Coturnix japonica: one gene and its partners. The protein of the gene in region 2 purifies or fractionates together with the protein of the main gene of each other region. This does not show direct contact. Links are inferred from orthologs where the notes say so. Each region holds a gene or a part of one and is shown on either strand. Other genes may lie near its edges.

What was found.
Region 1: the proteins of CCNC (region 2) and MED9 purify together in Homo sapiens (affinity purification with mass spectrometry; 4 studies listed by BioGRID and IntAct, counting the BioPlex papers as one, with this or other methods). This does not show direct contact. The link is inferred for Coturnix japonica from reciprocal best matches to the Homo sapiens genes CCNC and MED9.
Region 3: the proteins of CCNC (region 2) and CDK19 purify together in Homo sapiens (affinity purification with mass spectrometry; 8 studies listed by BioGRID and IntAct, counting the BioPlex papers as one, with this or other methods). This does not show direct contact. The link is inferred for Coturnix japonica from reciprocal best matches to the Homo sapiens genes CCNC and CDK19.

The regions. Positions count from the first base shown.
Region 1 is NC_029529.1:4,804,098-4,808,214, forward strand, and holds the start of MED9 (mediator of RNA polymerase II transcription subunit 9), read left to right. Parts: upstream 1-1,253; 5' UTR 1,254-1,288; coding exon 1,289-1,437; intron 1,438-4,117.
Region 2 is NC_029518.1:64,948,164-64,951,812, reverse strand, and holds part of CCNC (cyclin-C), read right to left. Parts: coding exon 3,616-3,649; intron 3,375-3,615; coding exon 3,305-3,374; intron 1,768-3,304; coding exon 1,716-1,767; intron 1-1,715. UniProt on the Homo sapiens protein: Component of the Mediator complex, a coactivator involved in regulated gene transcription of nearly all RNA polymerase II-dependent genes.
Region 3 is NC_029518.1:60,492,017-60,495,665, reverse strand, and holds part of CDK19 (cyclin-dependent kinase 19), read right to left. Parts: intron 1,779-3,649; coding exon 1,512-1,778; intron 1-1,511.

The DNA of each region.
Region 1 (4,117 bases), on a different chromosome or scaffold from region 2:
CCCCTGAGGAGCCTGAATCAAGTCTTGCTTTAGAAACAGCCCATAAAACGACGTGCAGAAATGAACCTCTCTGCTCAGCCCCACACAAAGGCATTAGCATCCTGTACCTCCTGCTTGGTTCAGTCAAGGGCCATGAATCCCACCAGCCTTCCCGCAGGGATCTGCTCAGCAGGTCCTGGGCACCCCTGGGCTCTCCTGCACATTCCAGAACTGGTGACCAAGCCGGGATCTATTCTTGACAGTAGAACAATGTGAACAATTGCATCTGCTATATTTAGAGCGAGCAGTCAATAATACATACGCACAAACGGTTACCAGCGTTCTCATTTGATACATAAATAGTTCGCTTTTCAAAAGAAATTGTTTTTTAAAATGAAAATTACCTTTCCCGTCATCCCTGGGCTATAACTAACTGATGAACCCGGGAGCTGAATTCAAATAAAAAACAAAATTATCTGTGCTCTCTAAGCCAATCCAGGAAGGATAACTCACGACTGTGGCTGCTGTTATCAGTGCTACAATAGTGTGTATTGACAGAGCGGTTTAAACGCGGCAGCAGCAGTTTGCTGAAGCACACTCCTGATGGTGCACAGGGGCAGCACTGCTCACCCTCACCTTCCATGCAGCGTGTTCTCCATCACCCCCTTGCACTCACAGCCCAGGCACCCAAGAACCCCACCTCTCCCCTCCTTGCAGCTTCATGGATGTCTCAGCCCTGCTGCTGGATTTTTGCCTCCATTCCTTCAGGTTTCTCCAGTTCCAAGCCCTGAAAGCCCTTCTCTTCTCCAGGCTGAACTCCCTCAGCCTGCCTTTATATGGGAGAGGTGCTCCAGCCCTCACAGCATCTCCATGGCCCTCCTCTCCAACGAGGACAGCCAGGAACAGTTGGGCTGCACACAGGTCAGGGATGCTGTAGGTCACACTGTGGGGTGCTCAGTGTGGGTGTGCAGGGCACTGCCTTGGGAGCACAGGCCCGGCTCAGCTGGGGAACACCTCAGCAGCAGTGCAGTCCCATATCTGAGACCCAGTCCCAAAGCTTGACCCCGGGCTCAGCCCCCACACCCACCCTCACAGCCCAGGACCCAGGGAGGCCTCCGAGCCCCGCTCCGGCCCAGGCCTCAGCCCCAGGCCACGGCCCGCAGCATCCCCACACCCCAACCTCCTGCCCAGGCCCAAACTGAGCCCCACACACAAGCAGCATCTGATGCTCAGCCCAGGCCGCCGCCGGGGCGGTACAGAGCGGCCGAGCTCCGCCCCGCTCCGTCACTGCTCGGCGCCGGGGGCCGCCATGGCCTCGGTGGTGTCCGCAGGCCGAGGGGCCGCCGAGGAGCCGCCGCCGGCCGAGCCGCCCACCGAGCAGAAACCGCCGCCCGCCCCGCCGGCAGCAGCGCAGGAGGAGTTCTCCTTCCTGCCGCTCGTCCACGACATCATCAAATGGTAACGGCGGCCGCACAGCGCCGGGCCGGCCTCACCACGGCATCACCCCGCAGGGATGCTCCCTCTGCCCTTTCTCTCCCCGCTGGGGTCTATGGGGGGGTTGGCAGCTGCTCTGCTCTGAGCCGGGCCCGTAGTTGGGGTCACCGAGGTGGGGCAGGGCCGGGTGTGCAGCAGCAGGAGCCGTGCCGAGCTGTTATTGCCCCGTATTGCTGCTCTGATGGGCTGATAAGTAAAGGACGGGCAGTCCCAGGGCAGCACTGTCTGTTTCTGGGCGTTGGGAGAAAGAGGAAGGCTTGTGCAGGCTGAGTCATCCTCTTTCCTGTTCAAAATCAATGCTGTGGGGTTAAAGGTGTTCGTACGAGGGTCCTGACAACCAGCGTTTGTGGCCCAGGGTAACCCTGTCAGAAATGTTTGAGTTCCCGGTAGGGGCATCGCCCTGCTGTGACCTGGGCACGTTGCACAGTGATGCAGAGGGCACAGGAAGCGTGAATTCCCACTCCTTGTTGTGGGTCTGACTGCCCTTTCCCTGCACGCTTCTATGGGAGCTGAGGCTGCTTTGTTTCCTGCTGGGGTTCTGTGTGTCTGAGTACCCAGAAGAGGTTCACCCTTATTAACCATGCAGCTGGAGGAGCATGGCAAGGAAAGGCCGAATACCCCACAGACACGGCAGCCTAGAATCTAGCTCTCCTAGATTCAGGAGAGCTATGAGAACTCAAACCCACCCTCCATTTCCCCCCTGCGCTGCCACTGTCCCTGTGCTCAACCCTGCCTGATCCATCCAGAGGTGATGCTGAACCTGCTGCCATCTGTATATGTGTGCAGAGCCAGAGTGAGCCAGATCCACGGGCTGAGACCTCCCAGCCTCCTGTGTGTCACCAAGCAAGTCGTGGCGACCCACAATGACAGTGCTGGGATATCCTGTGCCCTGTCCCTCTGAGCCACCCACTCCCACTGCCCCGCTCCCCCCCAGGTTGGCACACAGCATTTCCTGCACGGGGTGAGCAGACGTAGGTGCTCAGAGCAGCACTGCAGAGGGGTCAGACGGCAGAGCCGAGCAGTGGGATGAGTTGCCTCATGTCCCTGACAGATGGCAAACGTATTATCCTTTAACGCCGCCGCCAGGCTCACAGCCCGGCCCTGCTGTTCTGACACTGACTCAGCCCTGAAGACATTTCACATCTCCAAGGTGACTGTGCTGGGGTGCAGTGATGTATCGCGTACATTTGCTTACATTCAAGGACACGTGTTCCTTCCTGTTGTTTGAGTCCCAAGAAAGTTCTCCCAGGCAGGGCTTGCTGTTACTTTCACCCTTGTATAATCAGATGAGGTTACCTGTGAGGTCCCTGTGCGTGGTGGGTTGTGCTGGTGTATCCAGGAGCTGCAGGTGGGACATGATGGAGTTATGATTTGTTCACAGCAGTGAAGGAGAGCTGGTGGGCAGCTGGGGAGGGTCTGAAGATCTCAGTCCTTGAAGGGAGATCCCAAGCACTGTGAGGCTGTGGCTGGACATTGCATTTAATCCTGTGTAACTGCAGGTAGCTGAACCTCTTCCCACTCTTGCTCTCCCCCCTGCCTTTCCATGCCTGCAGAGGAGCTGCTTCAATTACTTGAAAACTCCCATCAGAAACAAAACAACAACAAGCCTGAAAATAGTTATTCCTTCAAACCAACCAACCAACCAGGCAACCATCCATTCTTTGGATGTGGAGAAGAGAACGAGCTGTGGAAGGACCTGGTCGGCCCTTTGAATCCAGCATGCAGCTCGTGTGGATTAAAGGCAATGCCAACCCATCCTTCCCAGATGTGCAATGTGTGTGTGCCTGTATTTTTCCACTGTCAACTTGACCGTAAACGCCTGCATAATGGGGGTACATTATAGTACCAGCTGCGGTTTTATTTAGAAGGGAGTCATGAATATTTTGTTCCAACAGGCTGTTGAAATGAACGGGACCATCTGGTTAAAAGTTTTGCTCTCAGTCGTGTCACGATTCCCCAAAGTTCTAATCAGGCACCTCTCTGCCCTGGTCATGCCAAGCAGTTTTATTTTGGGCCTGGCTATTGAACAGGCTCCCAGCTTACAGGGGCCGTTAGCAGCCTGCTCTCGTTATTAGCGCTGCCTTGGAAGCAGTCTCGCCTTTGCCTGGAATGGTAAAACTCCTTGCTGTAGCTAACAAAGCTGAAGCAGATACTAATGAGGGTTTGAGGGCAGACGCTGCCTCAGACGACGCTGATCCTCGAGAAGCACGGAGCTGCAGAAGCAATTGTGCTGCTCTTAAAAAATAAGCTGTCGCTTCTCTTTATTAGGTAGACATCCCCGGAGAGTCGTTCTGAAGCTCCGAAATGCCGTTTTCTCTGCCATTGGACACACTCTGGTACTTTGGGGAACGATTCCTATTTTCTGCTGTCAAGCTGTTTGACTGCATCGATTTCTTGTATTGCTTTGACAACAGGTCACAGACGGGGCTGAGGTCTTTTTTCCCAGGTGCCCACACACAACCTGTGTGTGTGTAATCTTACCTTCCCCATATGGGAATTGAAACAGAGTGAGAGGCTGTGGTAGTGTTTGAAAGCTGCAGACCAGGTCTTAACCTGTAGGACTGCAATTAAGGTTACTGGATGGTGTGCTGAAAATGACCAGGAAACCAGTTTGTCCCAGCAGCTGCCTAATCTGTGTATGTGT
Region 2 (3,649 bases):
AATATAGAGATCTATGGTGAACTTCACTAGAAAAGTTGCTGCAGGGCAGTAAGACTAATCCACTGGTTGGAAATCTTAATTATTTCAAGATAACAGAAGAAGGAATCAAACAGACATCTCAAGTAGCATGCAAGTTAAAGAGATAAATGCTGAAAAATAAACTACTTTGAAGGGAAAAGAAATAGAAACATTTATTTCCCAATACAGCAAGCTGGAGACAACCATATGAAATTGTCCTCTCAGTTCAGCTGTGTAAACAGAAGGAAAAGCTTCTGAAGAGCTTGCGAGTTATGAGATATCTTCCTCACAAAGGAAGCACGTGCTACTAGTTCCAATGTTCTTACTTAACAAAAAGCAAACTAGCCACAACTATGCTATTTTCCCTTTGCTAGCTTCCTTTGACTATTCTCATCTTCTTACTCCTTTTCTGTTCCAAATAAATTGATGTGTACTGAAGCAGCAGCTATTGTACAGGAAGAGTAGGTAGAATAAAAGCACAAAAATGCAAGGAAAAAGCCTGTTGCTTTTTTTTCCCCCACTTCCAAGAAATGCTGAGTGCCCATCAGGACGCACAGGAACCCTAGGTCTGAAGGAAGAACCATGAGAGTAATCTTCTACAGGACTCTGAGCCTTGGAATGTTCAGAAACAACACAACTCAACAGTAGAAGACTAAGTAAAATCAACTAAAATCCATCTAAGTTTCTCATTCATGCATCAAAATAGCTACACAGATCTGTGCTTGGAGATGCTTCTGCTATAATAATAGCAGCACTTACTGCTAAATCTAGTACTGGTCTTGGTCAGGCTGGCACTGAAGACGTGTTTTAGTTTCTGGTGGTAGAACTGTCATACAGCCAGCCCCATGGACTGATACAGTTACCGCATGTGCAGGCTACAGATGCAGCCAGTCACCTGTCCCCTCAGCAGCTAAGAGCTATTTTGAAAGCACTGACCTACATTTTGAAGAGCATAATGAGGAATTGCCTTTTGAGAGCAGCTGGACCTTCTGGGTCAAATTACAGCATTTAGTTAAGGAAGCCATTGCTTTAAGACCTTGATGTTTGACATGAAATTTACAGTAGTGGGAAATATAAGGCGAGTGGGAAAGAGGGAAAATAAAGGAATTACAGTGTGATTTTGTTGCATCTTTGTTTATGAACAATATGTAAGTTTTGAAACACAGATTTAGAAATAAATCATAGAATCGTAGAATTACTCAGGTTGGAAAAGACCTCAAAGATCATCAAGTCCAACCGCAGCCTAACCGTAGCACTCTAATATCGTGTGAAAATTAATTTATGATGGGAGGAAAAAAGGGATTAAAAACTCGGGAGGCATGAAGCCTACCAAAAATTCTACAAACATGGAAAAACACCTGATAGAATAAATAAATAAAGCCCTAAGTTCCAGTTCTATCTTTGAGTAGCTCAGATCTCTATTTACTACTCTAGACTAAGTATTAGCCTCGGTATCTAATTTTCGTTTTATTTGTGGTTCCTACAAGCTTCAATCAGAATCAACAAGAACTAATAAAGGGTAGAGCCTTCTGTTTCCATATTTAAAAACAGAAGTTATTTATGCTAAATGGATTTAACTGGCTCCAAGCAGTCAACATGTAACCACCCGTGACTTAATAAAAACAGCTATCATAAAAAAGTCTAACTTCCCTACAGAGATACTTAACCATAGCATAATGAAAACCACTAATACTTACACACAGAAGTAGCAGCAGAAATCAACCTTGTATTTGAAACAACACCAAACTCCTGAAGAAAAAGAGGGTTAAATGAGGTGAACCACCAGAAATACTGCTTATCCACACTAATATCAAATTAAAATAGCCTCTTAAATGGACTTTATGAAGCATTTCATTTTTTCCCCACCCCCTTTTTAAAATTATTATTATTTTTAAAGGTAAACAGAGTAAATTATACAATTCAGGTTAAAAAAGTTTTCTTTTTCTTTTTTTTTTTTTACTTTGTTGTTTGAGTTATAAAGAATGAAGAATAGTAAATGTCCGAGAAAGGTACTACAGCGATAATACCTGAAGATTAGTTTGCTAACAACCTACACGTAAAACAGTCAAAAAAGCTTCACTAAGGTGTGCTGGTTTTTATCCTAGTTGGACAGAAAACCACATTAATAAAGCTGTCATTAACTAACTTCTTAAATTATGTTTCTATGAAGCCTTCAGTTTTCCACTGAAGCAGCCAGCAAGTCAAAAATTTCTACTTATAACTTCCTTTTGGAGATGCACATACCAGAATCATTACCGCTGCATCTGCCTTCTGAAGATACAGCAGCTTTAGCATCAGGAAGGCTGTGCTGCCTTCTAACTCCTGCTCTAATATAAAGTGTAAGTGGACAGATTTTCCTTATATGAGTAGATTTCAAAGGCTTAATCAACAAGGTGATAAAAAATACAAAACTCTATCCAATGTCTTGTCTTTCTCCTTTCCTTTATCTCTTCCAAACACTGGAATGTATCAGAGCTTTTGTATAGATAAGAGTATCACACACAAACATCAGTTCAGTAGGACTGCCTGTAGGTATTTAGGTTCCTCCCATAAAATTAATGGGCGCAAATATAGCACAGATCTAGCAGTATGATTTTTCTTTCCCCCCCCGTTATGCAGATTTTCCTCAGGCTACTGAAAAACTTCTCCCATTTCTTAGAAAATTGGGAACAGGGCCTAGCTGACGCTAACTTTTAGCCACCTCCAAAGAGGACCTTCACCTCCACTGGCGGAAGACTCGGGCCTTCTCACCACTATCCCTAATGGGCCAGTTCCTTCTCAAACACAGCACATGAGCTACAACATGCTTTTAATTCAAGTAATGAAAGTGTGGTAAACTCTGAGGATCCCCTCACTATAAGAAAAGGAAAAAGACAATTAGGAAAAAAAAAATCTAATTTGTTTTAAAATTTGAGTAAGCATAAGAAGGAAAAGCACACGAGAAAGGAGAATCAAGTAAAAACTGCACAATTTAAGATACACTGTATGTAAATACATAAACACTGTGACAGTAAAACAGACATTTAAAAGTAACCTTTCCAATTGTCCAGAGGCTCTTCAGGGTTAGTAATTCAGACAAAAATGTGAAAGATCAAATATTAAATAAAATGTTTGAAGGCCTTCTGTCTCCTTCTCTTAAATTGCGATAGAAATCCATACCAAAAAAACACCCAGAAGGTTTAACCCCCACAGCATGAAGAATGACAAAAAAATTTCAAAGTCCTGAACGTTTTTCCACTCTCATACATCACATAATTTCACATTAAAAAATTGTAATGCTTCATACCTCTACTTTGGATGCCAAAAACACACACGTAGGAGCCATTAATACTGGATCTATACTTTTTAGGGAATATCTGAAATGTTATAACAAAATTATAATATGTTGTTTCACACACGTAGAACCATTAAGCTATTAAGAGCACCACACTTCCTTTTGAAAACCAAAACTTAAGTTAACTTTTTACTAACATAAAAGCTTTACACCATCCAGAAAACAAAAGTGGCACTATTTTTTTTTTAATACAAAATTTAATAGGGCTACTAAAATGTGCCTGACACGTTTTATTCCTGTACCATCATAATAAACAGTCCTACCTGGCATAGAATCTCTTGAAGTAGACTGTAGCAG
Region 3 (3,649 bases), about 4.5 Mb from region 2:
ATTATTATTTTATAGATCTAAGTCAGACTTGGACAAATTGCAAACATTCCTTCCTGGAACAGAAGACTGTCAGCTACAATTTAAGGGCAGAGAGCCAGATACAAATTTAAAACTGGATAATCAGATCAGACAGTTTAGCAAGTGATGTAAAGGGAGCACACAGATCATTATTTCACTGCCTGTGCTGTTAAATCCTAGAAGGAAATGGTCATGGGAGGTAAAAAAGAATTTAACCATCTCAAAAAAAGGAGAAAAATTAGATTTAGACTGCTAAAAAACTTGCAAGGTGGAAACTTGCCAACAGTTTGGAGAGCTGTGCAAGGATTCTGTAATGAACATCATCTAATGCAGCACATCAGCTCTCAAAATGCAGATCAAAACAGACCAGCCATAAATACTATGTAGTCAGACAGCTGTAGTGATCTGTCCAGACTTCAAGCCTGCCTGGAACTTTTCAGAAAGGAAACCTTGTTGTCTTTAACCTTACACTGCCCTCAGTACCTGTGTGATAATTTGCAATTAAAAGAGTAAAAGAGAAATAGGAGAAAAATGTCTGGCACTGAGAAAGCAGTTGTGTGTGGAGGAGGTACGGGTGGAGAAGCCAAAGCAATTGCAGAGTTGCTTTGTTTTGTTTTAAATCTGTTTAAAATAGCCTGAAAACGTTTCTTGAACATGGTGCACTCTTGAGGGTTGGTAGCAAGCAGAATCCCTAACATGCTTTAAAACATACCTTTACTAAGCTAACTTCCTTTTATCTGATTTGAAGAACGTGGTTGAATCAACTCTTTGGACACTTAGTGTCACTTTTTCAGAGAAAAGAATCATAATTCTATTAAGCAGAGACAAAAGTTCAAGTCCAAAAACAATTCAGTGATACTTCTTTTATGTATGAATGCTACTGAAGCAAAAAGCATGAAAGCTATTCAACCCCTGCCACAACAGAGATTACACACGCTCATGCCCTGCTTCAGCATGATTCATACTGATGAACCAAACCTGTGCTATCATGTAGTCTAACTTTAGAAGTAAATTTAGTAAGATACTGGAACAAACTACAGAATTGTTCCATATGTGTGATGATACGAGGTAAAACAAAGCAGAAACCAAAGGAGAAAGCCTGGCTCTAATTTTGACTTGCTTCCCAGAATCTGCCTCTCACACAGGACTTAACCTTGCCAAGAGCCAAGTATTTTGAATGTGATATGATGCAGCATTTACATTCATGAAATAGTTGCAGTGGCTTCGCTAAGATTATTCTCAAATAAAGCTACACACATATTTACATGCTTTCCTGGGGTGGTTGAGTCCTCAACACTTTAGAGGGTGAAGCAGACGTTTTTACTTCCCTAATAGGCTTTAAAGCTGCATTTTTATCTAATGTATCAGAGCACGGAGCTAAGGTTATGAGGAAAATTCATTAAAACATTATATTCATATTTATTGCAGTGGGGAACAGAGAAAACAACATTTTGCCTCCAATCAATCAGAAGCAGCAAAAATTCAAGAAGTACCTGATAATCTGAAGGCATGACAGGCCCGCCTGAGTTAGCGCCTGAAGGCCCTATGCGTGGTTTCTTGTTTGGAGGCACCTGGTTGAGGCTGGAGTCCTGGCTGTGCTGGAGTCCCGCACCCGCGCCCCCTCCGCCCGCACCCGTGCCCCCGGCCGTCCCGTTGGTTTGGGTGCTGTTCTGCTGCTGCTGCTGCGGTTGCTGCGGTGCGGCCTGCGGCTGCTGCTGAGGTGCTGTTTGCTGCTGATGTTGGTTCTGCTGCTGCTGATTCTAAGGGAAGAAAGAAGTGACAGCACACCATCATTCGCTCTGTACTTGTTTGTGATCCTGACAGAGTCACTAAGCTGGGTGCCACTGTGCTGCTGGAAAGGCAGCAGGCCCACGTGCTCGCCAGGAAAGCAAGGCCAGGTAATGCATAACATGAGCTCCCTGCGTGCTCCTGCCTGCCTCAAATTGGGGTATCTCATTTGTGGCTCACTTCTTTCCATTGTGGTTTTGTGTTGTTTTTTCTTTGTTTGTTTTTTAACAAAGCAGGATTGACTAGAGTTGGCATGACAGCTTAGTGATTGCTGCAGCTAGGCAAGCACTTAGGCCAGAGTAACAGTGAGCAGGATGGAAGGAGCTATTTATAAACACTTAATAAGCAGAATCAAAGCGCCCCAAATTTCACTGGTTCTCAGTGGCAGATGTGGCGAACCACAGTACATTTTCCTAAGTGCTTTAACAGCCCCATTCACTTAGAACTAAAACCACTTTTCCAACTTCCACAGATGATGCACTGCAATCATCCAAAGGAGGCTGGCAGTGTTGCCATCAGAAAGGTAAGCAAAACAAGACCAGAAACATTACATCATTTCTTCCAGTTACAAGGAAATTCTGTGGCAGAACCAAAAGCAGGTTCCATTACCCTTTTTCTCTCTTTCTTTTAAAAGCACCTTGGAAAGAGTGGTACATTGGGAACACAGTCCAGCATGGTACCTAGCTATAAGGTCTGAAAATCTTACTGAGACAGCAGGAAGTGACAAATGACCAGAGAGAAACAGCTGAAAATAGAAGAGAAGGACAAAGGTGAGATAAGAATCTGGCATGAGAAAGAAAAGAATAGCAAAGGAAGAGAAGTGAGGCAATTAATACAATACCATGGCCTAACAGGGAGAAAGAGCAAAGTGCCACAGAAGGGAGGGAAAAAGTTAAGGAGAACACAGAAGCAGAAGAGTAAAAGGTGCAGCTCTTCTGGTTTCAGAAGCTATGGACTGGAAAAAGCATTAAGGTCTAGAGAGGTTAGAAAAGTAGCAAAATTGCAACTCTTCTCCCTATGGTTAGACACTCACAAGGAAAGACCACCTGTGTTTGTCTGCTTTTGAGCATTACAGAAGACTCCTCCAAGAGAAGAAGCAAGTAAGAGAACTGCAAAGAAAAGCAACTGTGCTCCTAATGTCAGGTATGTAACCTGTTCATCATAGAAAGCTCTGCAATTTTCATGTCTTGAATTAAAAATCCCTACATTTAAGTCACACCCCCCAATCATAGTGTACTGCATGGGAGTGTGGAACATTTCAGGATAGTCTTTTTTCCCTGTGATATCTGCTTATGTAGTTCTCAAAGGTTTGGTATGGCAGCCTTTATTACATCCTCATGTTATCAGTTAATCAGAAATCCTGACAACCAACTGCCACTAGCACTAAATTGCTGATGCTCTCAGTCACGGCAAGCCATTTCAGTTATCTCAGAAAAATGACACAAAAATCTATATCTATGCCACTCATCACAACAGTTTCCCAAGATATAATCAGATCAAATTTGCAACGGTGTATTCATTTAAAATCTCAAAGATCTTAAATTTGCCTCTTCAAGGGCTGCTGGATGATACGTATTTCCATTTCACACTGAGCAAAACCAGTAATACATCCTACCACTAGTAATCCTCAAATGTCATCTCAGCCAGACTCTGTTTCTACGGGGATTTAAACTGTAAGAAGTTAAACAAAAGTCTGAAACAGGCTTGTCATAGAATGCGTTAAGAAGTAATTTATCTTATAATAGCGGTTTGAGCTTCACATACCAACAAATGCCAATGACTAAGGCAATATCTGTGCTAGATTCTGAGACTTGTATTTTCATAAGGATGCTGGGATGTGAAT